Tamandua tetradactyla: one gene and its partner. The protein of the gene in region 2 interacts with the protein of the main gene of each other region in a pairwise test. Links are inferred from orthologs where the notes say so. Each region holds a gene or a part of one and is shown on either strand. Other genes may lie near its edges.

What was found.
Region 1: the proteins of UBE2I (region 2) and RNF111 interact in binary tests that used the Homo sapiens proteins (3 or more experiments, as listed by UniProt). The link is inferred for Tamandua tetradactyla from reciprocal best matches to the Homo sapiens genes UBE2I and RNF111.

What each region holds. Positions count from the first base shown.
Region 1 is NC_135340.1:74,778,129-74,786,415, reverse strand, and holds the start of RNF111 (E3 ubiquitin-protein ligase Arkadia), read right to left. Parts: upstream 3,635-8,287; 5' UTR 3,601-3,634; coding exon 3,533-3,600; intron 968-3,532; exon of another isoform or gene 910-967; coding exon of another isoform or gene 869-909; exon of another isoform or gene 863-868; intron 1-862. UniProt on the Homo sapiens protein: E3 ubiquitin-protein ligase. Required for mesoderm patterning during embryonic development. Acts as an enhancer of the transcriptional responses of the SMAD2/SMAD3 effectors, which are activated downstream of BMP.
Region 2 is NC_135349.1:56,132,996-56,140,880, reverse strand, and holds the start of UBE2I (SUMO-conjugating enzyme UBC9), read left to right. Parts: upstream 1-4,348; 5' UTR 4,349-4,440; intron 4,441-4,889; exon of another isoform or gene 4,890-4,955; intron 4,956-7,885. UniProt on the Homo sapiens protein: Accepts the ubiquitin-like proteins SUMO1, SUMO2, SUMO3, SUMO4 and SUMO1P1/SUMO5 from the UBLE1A-UBLE1B E1 complex and catalyzes their covalent attachment to other proteins with the help of an E3 ligase such as RANBP2, CBX4 and ZNF451.

The DNA.
Region 1 (8,287 bases), on a different chromosome or scaffold from region 2:
ACTCTGAAGATTGCTCTTTTGCAAGCTTCAGTTAGACCCTGCTACCTATCATAACTTGCCAACTCCCAACCAGGACCATTCCAGCCAACCCTAAAGAACACCTAGGGCAAGATGTAAGATTCTACAAGGGTTCCGCGTGCTAGATAACTTTCCAGAAACCTAAAACCTCCCTGGACCAGGTAAGTCCTGAAACCTAGAGGGCCCAGCCTCTCCAGAACATCAGATAGTTCCATCTCTCTACCCCGTAATTATTAACAGTGCCTTCCAACATGAAAAAGTTAGAATGGCCACAGTTCAAATACTCCTTGAGAGGGGGATGGAAAGATCGTAGGTGACGGTGGAGTTATACAGAGAAGGTACAGTTTAACAAATGAATAAGACTGCTGAATCACTAAATTGATTTTTCTTTTAGTCTTCAGTATCTTAGAGCAGCTAGAAGTAAAAACTTAAAATTGTGGAACTGTAACCCATATCAAACTCTGAAATCTGTTCTATAACTAATTGTTCTGCTGTGCTTTGAAATTTATTGGTTTTTTGTACATGCTATTTTTCACGAAAAAGAAAAAAAAGTAGATTGTGATAATAAAGTATTTATTTCTTCTAGCCTCCTATGTTCTGGAGCAGCTAGAAGGAAAAATCTGAGATGATGGTATGGTGGACCATGACAAACTCTGGGATCTGTCCTATAACTACCTGTTGAAGACTGCTTTGAAAACTATTGCTTTTTCCTTTTTTTGCTTTGTACGTATGCTATATTATACAATAAAAAAAGTTTAAAAAGAAAAAAAAAGGCACACCCTAAACAATCCATAGTAGATCCAGTCTCTATCAGATCCTGTTTCATTTTCTTCCCGGCACTTACCACTACCTGAATTTATTCTGTTTATGTCTCCTCACAACAGAGGGCATGCTCCATGAAGGCAGAGTGCTACCTTCACTGATGAATCCCAAAGACCAAGAACATTACCTAAAACATAAAACATTCAATAAATACACACTGAATGACTAAATACTAATGTAGTACCTCTACTTAAAATTTAAGTTCAGGGTGCACGGGTGGTTCAATGGTAGAATGCTTGTCTTCCATGCAGGAGATCCGGGTTCAATTCCCGGACTATGCACCCCCCAAAAAAATTAAGTTCAGCTCAGAATTTGTTTATAAACATGTAGTTCACTCCTCATGCAATGGTACATATCAAGCATCTGCGGAAAACAGGGCCAGTTGTTACCAAGAATCTCTAGGATGCACAAGACAAAGAACAGAGGTATAAAACATCCAAATGCAATTCTGGACTTTTACTGAACAATGATTACAAGTTTCTGAAAGAAAAAACATTCAGGATGATATTAAAGAACATTACTAGGAGTAATATTTGAGGACCCTATTAATGAAGGCTGTTAGAGCATGAGTAGTATCTGCAATAGGACAGTAGTTTCATGTGGAACAACAAACACGGCTTCATCCTAAGTATTTTTCTGATATATATACATAATATGAAGGAATTTATACTCTGAGCATAGAATTTCCTTCTGGGGATTTGATTGTGATGAATACAACAATATATACCAAAAACACCTAACCTTAAAACAAATCTAATAAAGAGATTAGAGAAAACCAGAATTATCTGTCCCAAATTTCTCTTTTTAACAATTGAGAGTGATCTGAAGCCAACAAAGATTAGCAAAACAGTCAAAGGTCTAATGGATAGCAAAACCAGATGTAAAAATCCTGATCTACTGTCTCTCGTCCTATATTCTTTCATAAGACACTGTCCTCTGAGAATAGTGACGTCATTATAATGTATTTTAATTGTTATTATTTTTAGGACTGTCATTTTTTTTTTTCCTATTCGAAGTCTTAGTCCATAGTAATCTTTGATTACTTAGTCCTTAATCAAAGTAAGGGCACATATTATTATGCCTTAAGTAAAATTTGGTTCAATTCAATAAATTTTTCATTCCACATGTTAAAATGTGAGTAAAAATGAAAATAATTCTATTTAAGCGCATTCACTAAAAATTTCTTAGCTTTAGATGTTAAATTGCTGTTCTCTTGTTTTAAATATGAGTATAGCTATTTCCCAATCAGGCGGAAAAATTGAGAATAGACTTACTACCAAAGTGAAAGTCACCAAATCTAGAAATTTCAAGTTATAACCTCTACATAATAAATTTTTCATCAAAACATATTATTTGGATAATACCTTTCTCCAAGATCTAACAGTTTTTAGTGAAAGAATTATGTGGCCAAAAAACACCAAACAAAAGGGAAAAGGTAACAGAAGAAAAAGGATCTACCTAAGACAGAAACTCTACTCTTAAAATTTACCAACAATATTGTTCAAGCCAATTGAAAAACATCCCTCACCAATTCTTAGAATACTACTACAAATATTAAGCGGCAAACAAAAAAATGACCAAGCAGAGATGATAAAGTCATTTGTCCAAGGTTAAATGGCAAGACAGTGTTAGGAACCAAATAAAGGCTTTGTAAAAAAAAAAAAAAAAAAAATCCTATTCAAGACTCTTTTCAGGGTAAAGGGGTTGCTTTCTTCCTATCCCATCTGGTTTGTCCCACAAACGTAGACAAAGACTACTATTTAGTATGAAAAACAACATGTTTTATGTTGACATGAAAATTTTTAGTAAGGATTGTAAACTATAGAAACGTAGATCTTCATCTCTAATTAAGCCAGGTAAAACCCGTATTGTAGAGCTTCTAGGTAACATCAAAATCACATTCTAGCATATGAATGCAATGACATAAAAGACAAAAATGGCAAAGGCTAAGATAAGGTAAGGCAACATTAGGCTTATCTTTTCCCCATCCTGTACTTTTTGGTTGAAGAGGCCCGTAAAACAAGAAAAGTATAAAATATCAAGCGAAATAAACTTTGAAGTCAGGTTGAAAAGCAGTAAGAACTCATATAAAACGAAGCCTATGTCAGCTTGTATCTTATCACTCAAGAGTTCTAAATTCATAGTGCACGTAAACCAAGAAACAGGAAAGCTTACAACAGTGCAGTGGAGTCACCCCATACTACAAACACCAACAAAATAAATGAACACCCTATACTTCCTGGTATTTTTTAAACGTTAAAAATTACCCTTGCTTTAAGAAGCATCTGCAAAAATCTACCAAAACCTATTTTAAAACTATTGTGGGAAAATCTCTCATCCTGCAATACAGAATAGGTATGTCCACTATAGCACAGCTACTGACTCTGGTAAATTATCTAAGGGCAATAATAAAAAAAATCAAGCTTCTTTTTTAATGATCTACAAGTCAACTCCACACAAATATCTGACGCGTCTGTATTTCGGCTGTTCCACGGACTATGTTTCCTTGATCTCACAAGAAGGCAACTCCCTAATCGGCAGGGTTGACCTAGCGCCCTCCAACTCCCTCAGTCCAGGTTACCTTCATCACTCCATTGTCAAATTGTACTCTCACGCCTCAGTCAAGAGCCCCCATCATAAGACTAGGGAGAGTCAAAAAAGGAAAGAAATCCCCTCATCCATACTCCCTTACTCTGGGGTGTGGGTGTGTCTGTACACATACGCTTTGCCCGAATCCAAACTCAGACCCCAGGCCACCATCCCGCGGGCAACAACCCGCCGGTCGCCGACCCCAGCCGCAGCCCTTCCTCTTTCTCGCCTCCTGGGCAGCCCCTCCCCCGATGCGCGCACGCGCGGCCTCCAATCGATCCCCTCCCCCCGGCCCCTCACCTTAGTCATTAGCCACCCTCTTCCCAGGGTCCGGGAATCACTGGCCCAGGAAAGAAGACAGGAGATGTGAGGGGGGAAGGGAATGCGTCGAGAGCTAGCGATCCGCGACTCAGATCTCGGCCTAAATAGGCCCCTGTAGCCAAGAGCAGCGTCTGTCACCGCCACCAAAACTGTAAGACCGGCAATGCCTGGGCTCGGCCCAGTCAACCCGGCTTGGGTTTAGAATGCCTGATTTCGCCCCAGAGAAACTCCTTCTCCAAAGATGCGGGCGTTTCTATGCTGCGCAAATCGAGGACCTCGATACCATCGCCGCCACTGCTGCTGCTCCACTACCGCTGCCGCCGCCGCCTAACCAATCCCTCCTCTACAGAACGAGAACGACACTTGGGTCCTTTACGACAGTTCGGAAAGTGAGAGCGCAATAGCCTTCACGGCTCCATTAATAGCGCTTGTTTCTGCGCTTGCTCAGATTCTTGTTTCCCACTGTCCCGCCCCCTTGCCCCGCCCCTCCCCCTTTGTAATCACTTTACCAGTCTGTTGGCGAAACCGAACGTGTCACAAAGCTCATTATTTTATTTTCCTTGGTGATTGTGTGTTCAATACCTAGGTAAATTTTTTACTACCTCTTTGATAAATCTTTTGTAACTAAAAATTGGACTAGCCACAAAATTATTGACTATACCTACGGTACACTTAAAAACAGCATGGTTTGGTGTCTTTCACGACCCGTGATATCCAAATCATCCGCGCTAATGGCATAAAGACCACGCACAGCACCTCACTGTGCGAATTATTAAGGCGAATTTGTTTCCGGAATCAGATTAACAGTGGTAATAAACGTCCTGGGAACCTGGCTGTAGCTGTACAATCACATAAGCCTTTTTATTTAATTATCTTATAAAATGAATAGATAGCACATGCTTCATTATGTGCACTTGGAGGATGTAGGGAAAGAGCACCAACTTAGAGTCAATCAGACAGACTTCCCCTTCAAATTTCAATGATGCCACTTAACAGCTGTTTGGTTTATTAAATATTTGTAAATCTTAGTTTCCTTCGTTATAAATTGGGATAGCATTATTTACCTCAAAGGGTTCGTGTGAGATTAAATGAGACAGTTTAATTAATGTCCCTAATATTACTTACCAGTTAAATGTTCAATAAACATTAATTCCTTTGCCATCAACTCATCTTTCTCAATACCCTTTCCTTTGTTCACTCATGTTGTCCATATTGCTCAGTGAAGATATCTTTAAAAAAGGGGGGGGCAGCAGATGTGTAGGGAAACTAGAAGAGCAATGGACTAGGATTCTTCCTTAATCCTCTTATTTTCTCACTCTAAATACACATTTTTGTCTGAACTTTGAAAATTTTTTCAAATGTGAACAAAAATACACATTTTTGTCTAAATACAACTATTTAGTTTAGTTGTCTGAACTAAAACATGGTTTTAACTGTTAATGCCTCATGATTTCTCCAACCCATATGTACAGCCCTAATCTTTCATCTAAAGCTTTAGACCTGCACTCTCTAATATGGCTGTTGAACTCTTAAAATTGATCTAGTACAAACTGAAAAGTGCTGTAAGTGGAAATTTTACATCCAATTCCACGATGTAAAGTAGATTATTTTTAGAAGACTGTAAAATATCCCACTAATTTCTTATAATGAGTACATGTTGAAATAATATTTTGGATATGCTGGGTTAAATCAGTGGTTCTCAACTGGGAACAATCCTTGCTCACCACTCTCCACTCCCATCCACCCCACCCCCACATCATTTGGCAATGTTGGACATTTTCTGTTTGTCACAACCAGGGGAGATTGAGGGGAATGCAACTAACATCTAGTGGGTAGAGGCTAGGGATGCTGCTATGCATTCTGTAATTCACAGGGCAGCCCCCCAAAACAAATTATCATCTGGTCCAAAATGTCAGTAGTAACCAGATTGAGAAATCTTAATGGTTTAGAAAAGATTGAGCAATGAAGTTAGACAGAGACAAGTATCTTTTCATGAAATTGATAGTAAATGGAAGAATAAAGACAGACACATCTAACAGAATATGGAGTCAGAGAGGCACGATTTGAATCCTATTGGCCTGCTTAAGGGAAAGAGCCAGTAGAAAAGAGAGGTGAAAGATAATAGAAATAAAGGAATGCTCAAAGGAGAAAAATCCCTATAGAGGCAGAGAAACGGGATTCAAAGCTCAGGTGGAAGAATTAGCCATGAATGGAAGGGCCACCCCTTCCACTGAGACAGTTTAGTTTTGGGGGGCAAATTGAGGGCTTTCGGATAGATTGACCTTGATTTTCTCTATGAAACATGAGGTAAGGCCATCTGCTAAGATTTCACGTTTGGAAATGGCTGAGTGGTCAGATGAAGACAGGGAAGACAGTAAGTATATGGGCAACAAATCAAGGGCAGGAAACCCAGAGTAGAAACACAGTAAGACTATGAGAGAACAGGTGCCAAAAAGTTGTATTTAGAGATATAATAGCTAATTGTAGGGGTCAGAGATATCGCTAATCTGAAATGGACACAATATTTTCCTGATTTCTCTGTTTCTGCTCCTTCCATTATCACCAAATGAACTACAGACCATTGTCAAAATGTTGGAAAAACTGATCAAGACACTAATTTGCTTAAAATCCTTCAGGAACCCTCTGTCTTCTTTAGAATACAGTCCTAAATAGCTTGCCAAATAAAGTATTCAAAATCTAAAATCTCACTGCCATTTCACATCACCGCTGTCACCAGCCTACACTCCTGCCCTTACTTATACTTGAGCAGACTTTTCAGACTTCCTGTAGATCTTAGAAAAAATGTACTGTTTCATTTCCCGCTGCCTTTGTACTGACCGTTCTTTCTGCATCAAAGCACTCTACCCCATTCCTCTTCATCCCCCACCTGCTTTATCTGCCTAGCAAACTCTTATCCATTCCTCAAAACCCTCCCCCATGAAATAGGAACACTCATACACTGTTAGTGGGAATATAAAGTGCAGTCACTGTGAAAAACAGTTTGCAGTTCCTCAGATTGTTAAAAACAGTACTACCATATGGCCTGGTAATCCCACTTATAGGTATATACCACAAAAGAATTGAAAGCAAGGACTTGAGTAAATATTTGCACTCTGATGTTGATAGCAGCATTATTCACAATTTCCAAAAAAATCTGTGTCCTACAACAGATGAATAATAATTCATCTAATCATGAATAGTATATTTTAAAAGTGTAATATATACATTCAATGGAACATTATTCAACCATAAAAAATGAAGTTCTGATGCATGCAGCAACATGGATGAACGTTTAAGACATCATCATGCTAAGTTAAATAAGCCAGTTACAAAAGGACAAATATTATATGATCTCATTGATTTGAAATAATTAGAATACGCAGATTCATAGTTTCAGAAATTACCATACAGGAGACGGAGTCCAAAGTGAGAGTGGAGAATGGGGAGTTAATGATTAATTGGTAGAGTTTCTGTTTGGATTGATAGAAAAGCTCGGTAAAAAATGGTGGGGACGGTAGTACAACTTTGTGAATGTAATTAACACCACTGAATTGTATATTTGAAAGTGGTTAAAATGGAAAATTTGAGTTTGTTTATATGTTAAAAAATAAAAAATTTTAAAAAACTCATAGAACTGTACAACACAAAGAGTGAACCCTAAAGAAAACTGTGGACTATAGTTAATAGTATAAGCATAATAATGTCTCATCAGCTGTAACAAAGGTACCACACTAATGCAAATGCTAATAAGGAAAACTGTGTGGGAGTGTATATAGGAAGTTTTTACTTTTTGCCTGATTTTTTTGTAAACCTAAAACTGATCTAATAAAAAAAAATTATTTTAAGTGAAACAAAAAAGTCTGTGGCAATGGTGACACAGTGGCAGAGTTCTCGCCTACCATGCTGGAGACCAGGCTTCGATTCGCAGTGCCTGCCCATGAAAAAAAAAAAAAAAGTCCTTCTCCATGAAGCATTTCCTTGCCACTTTCCCCACCCTGAGGTAGTTAATAATCACTCCCAGTCCCATACCCTCTTCAATCTTGGTATATCCTTCTATTGTAAACAGTATAAATTTTATATACAACTGTCTCTTCCAAAAAAAACTAAAACCAAGAAAATTTGTCTTTTTATCCTTGTAGAAGAAGAGCACTCAATAAATTTTTTAATGAACTGAACAAGGAGACCGGGGTTCAGTTTTGCCACTAAAAAACTAGGAATCCTTCATTTTAATTAAATCATTTGAACTCTCTGAAAATTAATTTTACTCATCTGTGGAAAGATCAGGGGGATCCAACACATTCTTCAAACCAAATTTTGCCTACCTGACATGCAGCAAAATAATATTTACCAAATTAGCCTGCATACAGGGAGTGACAATGCCTAACTACCTGTTACGCAGGAATTTGAGGAGTTGGGTCCAAACGTGAAAATGCTAAGCTGAATTAATGGGTCACCTGCAATAAAAGGATAAAAGGACAATTTTTACAAATCACTTATATCAAAAGGGAGGATTGGTATCCCCACCATCCACTGCAAA
Region 2 (7,885 bases):
TTACACTCCCGGGAGTCATGTCCCACGCAGAGAGGGGGAGGGCAGTGAGTTCACTTGCCGTATCAGCTTAGAGAGAGAGAGGCCACATCTGAGCAACAAAAGAGGTTCTCTGGAAGTGACTCTTAGGCCTAATTTTAAGGAGGCTTAGCCTATCCTTTGTGGGGCTAAGTTTCCTAGGGACGAACCCCAAGTTCAAGGGCTCAGCCTATTGATTTGGTTGTCCCCACTGCTTGCGAGAATATCAGAAAGTCTCCAGATGGGGAAGTTGTATATTTCCCCTTTTCTCCCCATTCCCTCAAGGGGACTCTGCAACTACTCATTTATTCACTGAGTATTTATCAGGGCATCACACCAACCTGGACAAACCAACAAAATCTCATGCCCTATTCAAGATTCCCAGTACTTACGGTGCTAACTAAACTGACCACACAAGTTAAATTAGGAAATACACTACCGAAAGTATAAATTTTGCACCAAAATAAACATCTCTACCTTTAGTCTCATATAGAAGTTGAAGTTTTAAAATATGGACGATAGAACCCCTTACCCCGTCTTCTGATATACCTTAGTCCTATCCAGATGAGCTCCATTCATCTCTCTACTCGATGTCTGATGACTTTTTTAACTTTTTAAACAGTTCCTGTATGTGGTACTGCTGACCTTCACAGCTTCAGAGCTCTCACTGAGTCTCAAGTGTCACATAAATACTCAAAGTTTCTGGACGACCAGTTACATACAAACAGCTCAGTATCTCAGATTTCAGAGTTGCATAGTGGCATTTTTTACAATTGCCCAAAGATAGAAGCAACCAAAGTGTCCCTCAAGAGATGGCTGGATACATAGGGATGACAGTTACATAAAATGGAACATTCTTCATCTGTAGAAAGGAATGAAGTCCTGGGGATGCAACTACATGGATGCAAGTTGAAGACAGCGTGTTGTGGGAAATGAGCCAGACAACAAAAGGACAAATATTGTATGAGCTCACTGACACGGAATAATTAGATTGAGCAAGCCCCTAGAATCAGAAACCAGAATGCAGGCTCCCGGGGGGGGGGGGGGGGGATGGGATGGAGAGCTGTACAGAGTTTCTAGTCCGGACAATAGGGAAGTTTGGCCATGGAAGTTGGTGTTGGCAGTAGCACCCCATGATTACCAGCCCTGGATTCCACATTTGAAGGTGGTTAAAAGGAGGAAACGTTAGGTTGTATGTAAGTTGTTAGAATAATAATGGAAACACAAACGACATAGGACTGTCCGATGTTCACAAGCAGTGAACCTTCATGGAAATTATGGACTATAGTTAATGGGACAATTATAACATTGTTTCATCGGCTGTAACAAAAGCACCACATTAATGCAAGGTGTTAAAAATCGGGAAACTGGTGTGTGTAGGGGGGGAGGATGTTCGGAGACTGTATTTTCCGTGTTATTTTTCTGTAAATCCACAACTTCTCTAGTAATATATACGGAAAACAAATTTTTAAAAAGTCACTTAGAAATTAAAAACAAAAACAAGCAAGCTCCCTGAGACAGGCTCACGCAGGAGGGTTTGCAGAAGGGTTCATTATTTTCCACTCATGACGGATCCACTCCCGTGGACTCCTCAGCTCTGCCAGGAGCAGGGCTAGAGACCGCCCTCCTCCACCCGGGCCTGCGCGCACCGGCCGCTCCGCCTCTGCACCGCCCTGGCCCGCCCGGCGGGGACGCCCCCGGGACCGAGCGGGAGCGCAGGGCCGAGGGCCCGGGGAGGGGCTGAGACGCTCCCCTCGGGCTAGAGGGCTTCCCGGGGAGATAGAGGGGGGCTTGGAAGGGCAACTCCGGAGGACAGGAGCAGGAGCACGGCTGGGTCTGGGGTCTCGGCTCCTTGCGGGCTGGGCTGCCGCGCGGGGGGAACCTCCCAAGTCAGGGTGGGGGCCCAGGGAGGCTGGGGGAGGGGCCGCCCCTCTCGGCCCCTCCCCCAGCGTTAGGTTGGGGGCCCTGCTCCTTCTTTCAACAGATTCTCTCCAGAGCCCTGGGAAGGCGGGATCTGAGGAGATGGCTGCTCCCCAGCTCAGGAGCCCCTCCCCAGCTGCCTTCCTGCGCACCTGCCCCCGCCCCTCTTGCCCACCTGCCTCCTCTGCACACCTGCCCCCCGCCCCTCCTGCACACCTGCACCCCTCCCATCCCCCTGCCTGCGCACCTGCTCCCGGCCCCTCCCCCACCTGCACACCTGCTCCCCACCCCCACCCTGCGCACCTGCTCCCCGCCCCTTGGGCCCCATCTGGGACTCATGCCCAGACCCTAGGCTCAGGAAAGAGGTCCTCTCAGGCCCCGACATGCACCAGGGGGACCAGGTGCCCAGGGCCTCCTCTCGGGCCCCCTCCTGTGCCCCTGCACCCACCCGCAGCGTCCCTTTCCTCTGCCTGTGCCCTCTGATGCCTGGGAGATGAGAATCTTGGGGTCCACGCCCTCCTCCGCCTGCAAGCCCTGGGGCAGGAGGAGTTTTGGGCTGGAGAGCTGCTGGCTCTGGGCAGCCTGCCCCAGGCGCGGTCCTCACTGTTCCACAGCAAGGCTGACGGATGGGGTGCTGCCAGGTCTAAGAACTCAACATACTGGTGCCCAGTGAAGTCAGAATTCCAGATAAACAAAGATAACGTCTTTGTTTAAGTGGGTCTCTGTAACTTCTGGGATGCACTCATACTAAAGAGATATTCACTGTTCATCTGAAATTCCAATCTCACCGGACATCCGGTATTTTCTCTGACGACCCTAACCCCTACGGGGCCCTAATACATACGGGGCAATAGTCCCGGGGCCCTAACACATACGGGCCTACCCGGGAAGCCGGGGAAAGGCGGCAGATAGCCTCGGGGTGAGTCCGACCCTGCCACCGGAGGCGTGTAAGAGGCTGCCCAGGGGCTTCCTGGATCTCCCACCTCCCCGGACCTGCTTCCCATTGGATGGGACGCTGGCACCCACTGCCGTCCTCACAGCCCCTCGGGCCTTCCCAAGTGGACAGAGGCTTGGGGTCCAGAGCTGCTCCCAGAACCCTCAGCCGTCCACGCTGACTGCCCTGTGCCTGACACCTGGGGACGAGGGTGTCTCACAGGGTCCCAGGGACCATCTTGCGTCTCTAAAGACAGACGTCGAGACAGACGTCGGGGCCACCGCTCTTGGACCTCTTCCCGCTGCCAGGTCCTCCCATGATTGAGTGTGCCCTGTCCACGCTGCCACAGGAGCTCCCAGGGCTCAGGGCCCAGGTCTCCTTCACCCCCTGGCATCCTCTCACTAAGCACAGACACGGAGCTGGGGACCCGACTCGCCTTCCCTGCTCCACAACCTTCCATAGCTCCCCATGGCCCTGGGAATCAGGACCCTGCAATTACAACCAGTCTGCCTTGTCAAACAGCACCCCCGTTACCCTCAAGGCCCCCAACCTGGCCCGTGCTACCCACTCCGCGCCCCACGGCTGCGCCCGGCCCACTTAGGCCCTGGTCTCTCCTTCGTCCAGCAGTGGCTCTCTGCTGGGTACCTTCCGCGCGTAGCCCTGTGCTAAGCTCCTGACATCCTCCCATGGAAGACGTGCAGTCCACAACCCCCACGGCAGCTTAGCCCGGCGGCCATGTGCTCCCCCGGGCATGTGTTTACAAGTCCGATTCCCGACCACATGGGGCTGGGGGAGAAGTGCAGACATGCACGAAGCTGGGGGCCCGCGGCTGGGCCTGCCCCTCCCGCCCAGGGGAGGCAGCGTCCCCGGCCAGGCTGTGCTCGGTCAGCGCGGGCCACCGGCGTGAGCTGCCCCGGGGAGCTCTGAGGCTGCGAGGGACGTGGAAGGCCCACCTGCTCACAGGGCCGGCCGCTTGGCACCACCCCAGCCCCTCTGCAGGCCCGGCCGCCACTGAACCCACCCAGGCCCCCCTCCGTCCTCACTGGACTCCCCGGAGTCACAGGTGCCGGGGGCACAGGGACTTCACCCCGGGGCGCCCCGGGCACTGGTGCCTGCGGGCATGAGGTGTGGGTCACCGACTAGGCCCTGCCTCGGGGAAGCCGCGGCCTCGGCACCACGGGCTCGGGGGAGGGGACCGGAAGGAGAGAAAGAAGGAGGGAGGGAGAAGTCCCTCCCCGCGGCCCAGCGAGCCCCTCCGCACGGGCGCCCCGCCCTCCCCCCGGCTCCCCTCCTCCCAGGGCCGGCCCCCGGCTAGGGAGCGTCCGCAGTTCTCCTCCGTCGGTGCCGCCAACTTTCGGCCTTCTGTACGGCGTCAGCCCATTGGGTGGATTCAAGGGACGCCCCGCCCCGGGCCCCGCGGTGGCCAATTGTAAGGACTTTGACAGGGAGCTGAACTTGGGGGAGCGGCACCGGTCTGCGATGCTTCGGGACGGCCTTAGGCCTCGGTGGTTCCTGCTCCCCGGACCCGGGCGCTGACCTCAAGGAGACCTCCGGGACCGGCGCCCGGAGAGGTGTCCACCGGGCATCCGGGGAGCCCTTGGCGGTCTCTGTCCCGCGTTTCCCCCTCAGCTCGTCGGCGCGTCCGCCCGTGGACGCGCACCTCCAGAAAGGGAGTTTGTCGACGCTCCCTGGTTTGCGGGACGCGGCTCCTTTAAGGGGGCAGGTGTCCAGAGTGCGGCCTGACTGGAAGTTCGTACTCCTCCCGGGCTCCCAGGCCCGGCGCGAAGCGCGAGCGCGCGGCGGCGGGACACGGGCAGCAGGCGGCGCGGGGCGGGCAGCGGCGGTGGCGCTGCTGGGCGGCGGCGGCGGCGCACGGGGCAGGCGCGCGGCGGGCAGCCCGGCGCCAGGCCCCGCCCCGCGCGCCCCGCCCGCGCCGGGGTCCTCGGAGGTGCTCGGGCTGCGCGCGGAGCGGGCTCCGGAGGGAAGTCCCGAGACAAAGGGAAGCGCCGCCGCCGCCGCCCGCCGCCCGCGCCCGCTCGGCTCCTCCGCCTCGTCGCGACGCTCACCGGGGCCGCGGCCGCCCGAGGTGAGCGCGGGCCGCGCGCGGGGCGGGGCGGGCGCGCCGGGGCCGCCGCCGGGCCGGCCGGGCCTGGCCTGGGCCGCGGGGGCCGGGCAGGCCTCGGCGGGGGCCGGGCGGGGGCTCGCCGGGGCTCGGCGCCCTCTCACCTCTGTGCAGGGCCGGACGGAGGGTCCGCCGCGCCGAGAAACTTCGTCCCGCCTCCTTCGGGGGAGCGGCTGCGGCGCGGAGTCGCTGTCGGGCAAGCTTCCCCGAGCCCCGGCGTCCCCTCGGCCTTGCGGCTGCGGTCTCACCGCTTTCCCTCTCTGCCCTCGCGGGCTCGGCAGCGGCTCGGGGATGCCCCTGGGTGCTCGGGAGAGCGAAGAGGAGCCCGCAGCTCCGGCGTTGGGAGAGCGGAGCACGGAGCTGCCGGGAAGGCGAAGCGGCAGGACGTCCACCCCAACACGGAGCTTTCGACGGCCGAAGGGGAATTCATTTCTGGGGCCACAGGGCCGGACGACAGACCTGCAGCACTTTGCAGCCGCGGAGCGAAGCCGACAGCAGAGTTGAGAGCCTGGGATTGCTAAAAACGCTGGCTCTTGGGGAGCGGGGTCGGTTTGGTTCTGATGTCTTCATCAAAACAAGTCTCCGTTTTCTTGGTAAAAAGACGTTCTGTGTGAAGCCGATGGATCACGCCGAAGATTAGCTCTGCACTTGACGGAGAGTTCTGTTTTATATTTAAAGTTGCTTTGTGCTGATTGTATGGGGTTGAAAGTAGTAGTTAACCTGAGTGAGAAGGTGAGAGGAGTCGTTGGCGCGGAGCATGGTCCGCGGTCACCGCAGGATCCCTGTATTAACTTGTTTCGTCTTTATCATCCTAAGTTATGTTCAGTTCCTTAGTTTGCAAAGTTACTGTGACTTTTCCCTCCCTTTTGAAGATGATAGCTTTAAATGTTTCTCGTTATACAGAAAACGTTGCCTTTATTTAAAGAACCTACCCAACAGAAAACAGAAATCTGGCTTAAGTCCGTTGTGGTTTGCTTACAGAGAGATTCGTTTGCTCTAGCCCTTTTGAGTGGTGATGGGGTGAATTCTGCCTTCTTGTGTGCCTTTGCTGGCTGGGGTGGAGTCTTGGGACCTTGCTTCAGAAACAGGGGTGATGGGGGGAGCATGGAGGAGGTGCGGGCAGGGTGACAGGGTCTGCTCAGTGCAGGTCGCGTGGGGTTTGCAGAGTTGTGCCCCGCCTTGTTCCAGAGGGTGTCCCAAGCATACAGGCGCCTGTGCTTCCTTCAGTTATCAGTTCATCCTCTCCAGCCTTCCAAGGCCACAGGACTATCACCCTTCCTGCAGATGAGTACATTGAGGTTCGGGGCGATAAATGTCTTGCCCACGCACACACAGCAAGTGAGTCGGCTCTGAAGTCCGTGCCCTCAGCTGGCAGAGTTGATGAAAGGTGCACCCCTCCTGGAGCCCCGGAAGAAGTGGGGGCAGGCTGTACCTCACTGCCCTGCCCAGCGAGCACCTGGCCTTGTCCGGGGGTGGGGAGGGTGTGCTTTGCGGGTTTCCAGCACCTTATAGTTTGTAGGGTTTTATTTTCTTTGGCTTTGCATCATCTAACGTTCCTTCTCTGAAGCACCTGATAGCACTTGACTGCTCAGCCAGTGCCTCTCATTTCTGAAGGTAGATTGAGATGTGGAAGCTTATCATCGAAATGTAACAAGTTGACTGTTTTCTCCTGGAGGAGAGACTGGTAGGAACAGGAGGCTGCCTGGGACAGACACCTGTGGCTCCTTACCCTAATGGCCAAAACATTCTTTCTGGTGTCTGATCTGGTCTGTCAAGGTGGGCAAAGGTGAAACAGATTGTCCTCCCTCACAGGGGGGCTGCAGGGGTCCTATACGACCAGCCCCTGGTGTGAGGGTGCTCCAGGGCACAGGACATTTCAGAAGCAGCCAGCTTAGGACCGTGGCTCTGGTAGGCTCTAACGAGGCCAGGGCCTCGGTTGGAGCTCTGTTCCTTGTCAAATCAGAAGAGGGGCTTGAGGTGGGGTCCCAGCACAAGGTCGGCGGGCAGGTGGCCCTAGAGAGCATCCTGTTGGCTTCTCCCATGTGCCTGCCTTGGGCCCAGTCCCTCCAGAACAAACTGAATGTCCTTTTGCCCCCTTACAGTGTCTGTGGCTCCCTTAAGGACCCACCTGGCCTGGATGATAGCTTAGAGGCGGCTGGTCTTCCCTCACCCAAGTTCTGAGCGTATTAACTGAGCAGATGCCAGTGCTCTCTGCTCTGTGCTGGTGCTGGATGGGGAGCAAGCTGCAGAGGCCTTCCCATGAGCTCCTGTCTTCAGGGCACCTGCATGGGCAGGCAGAGTGGGGAGGCTGGGCATGCAGTGCCCCTGTGCACAGGGTCTGGGAGAAAGGGGCACCCCCAGCAGGGTGGACATGCACTCCAGCTGGCCCTTGGAGGCACCTCGGGTTTCAGCCTGCGGAGGAGCTGGGTCATTCTCTTCCCCAGAAGAACCAGCTGAGGGAAGGGTTTTTAGACACTGGGTTATGGCCATAGCCCCTGGCCAGTCAGCTTACCTGCCTCTGCTACACACCTTTGTCAATTTTCAGCACAGAGGGAGCCACAGAAACATAAGTGGGTTCCAGCTCTCCTCTGACCAAAACCCCCTAAAGGCTTCACACCAGGACTTAAGACCTTTCCCATCCTTTCTGCCCGTGCCCCCACCCTGCTAAGAAGCTCTGCACTGGCTGTTCTTACCTGGAACAGCCTCCCAGATGCCAACCTGACTTTGCTTAGCTGTACCCAGTGGCCCACCTAATCCCTTGTAAAACTTGCAGTCCTTCTACCAGCCCCTTCTCTCTGTCCCACCCCCCACCCCCCTCTCTGTCCCCTCAACCCCCGCTCCCGCATACTGTGAGACTCCCTGTCTCCTGCACATGTGAATTCCAGGAGCAGTGG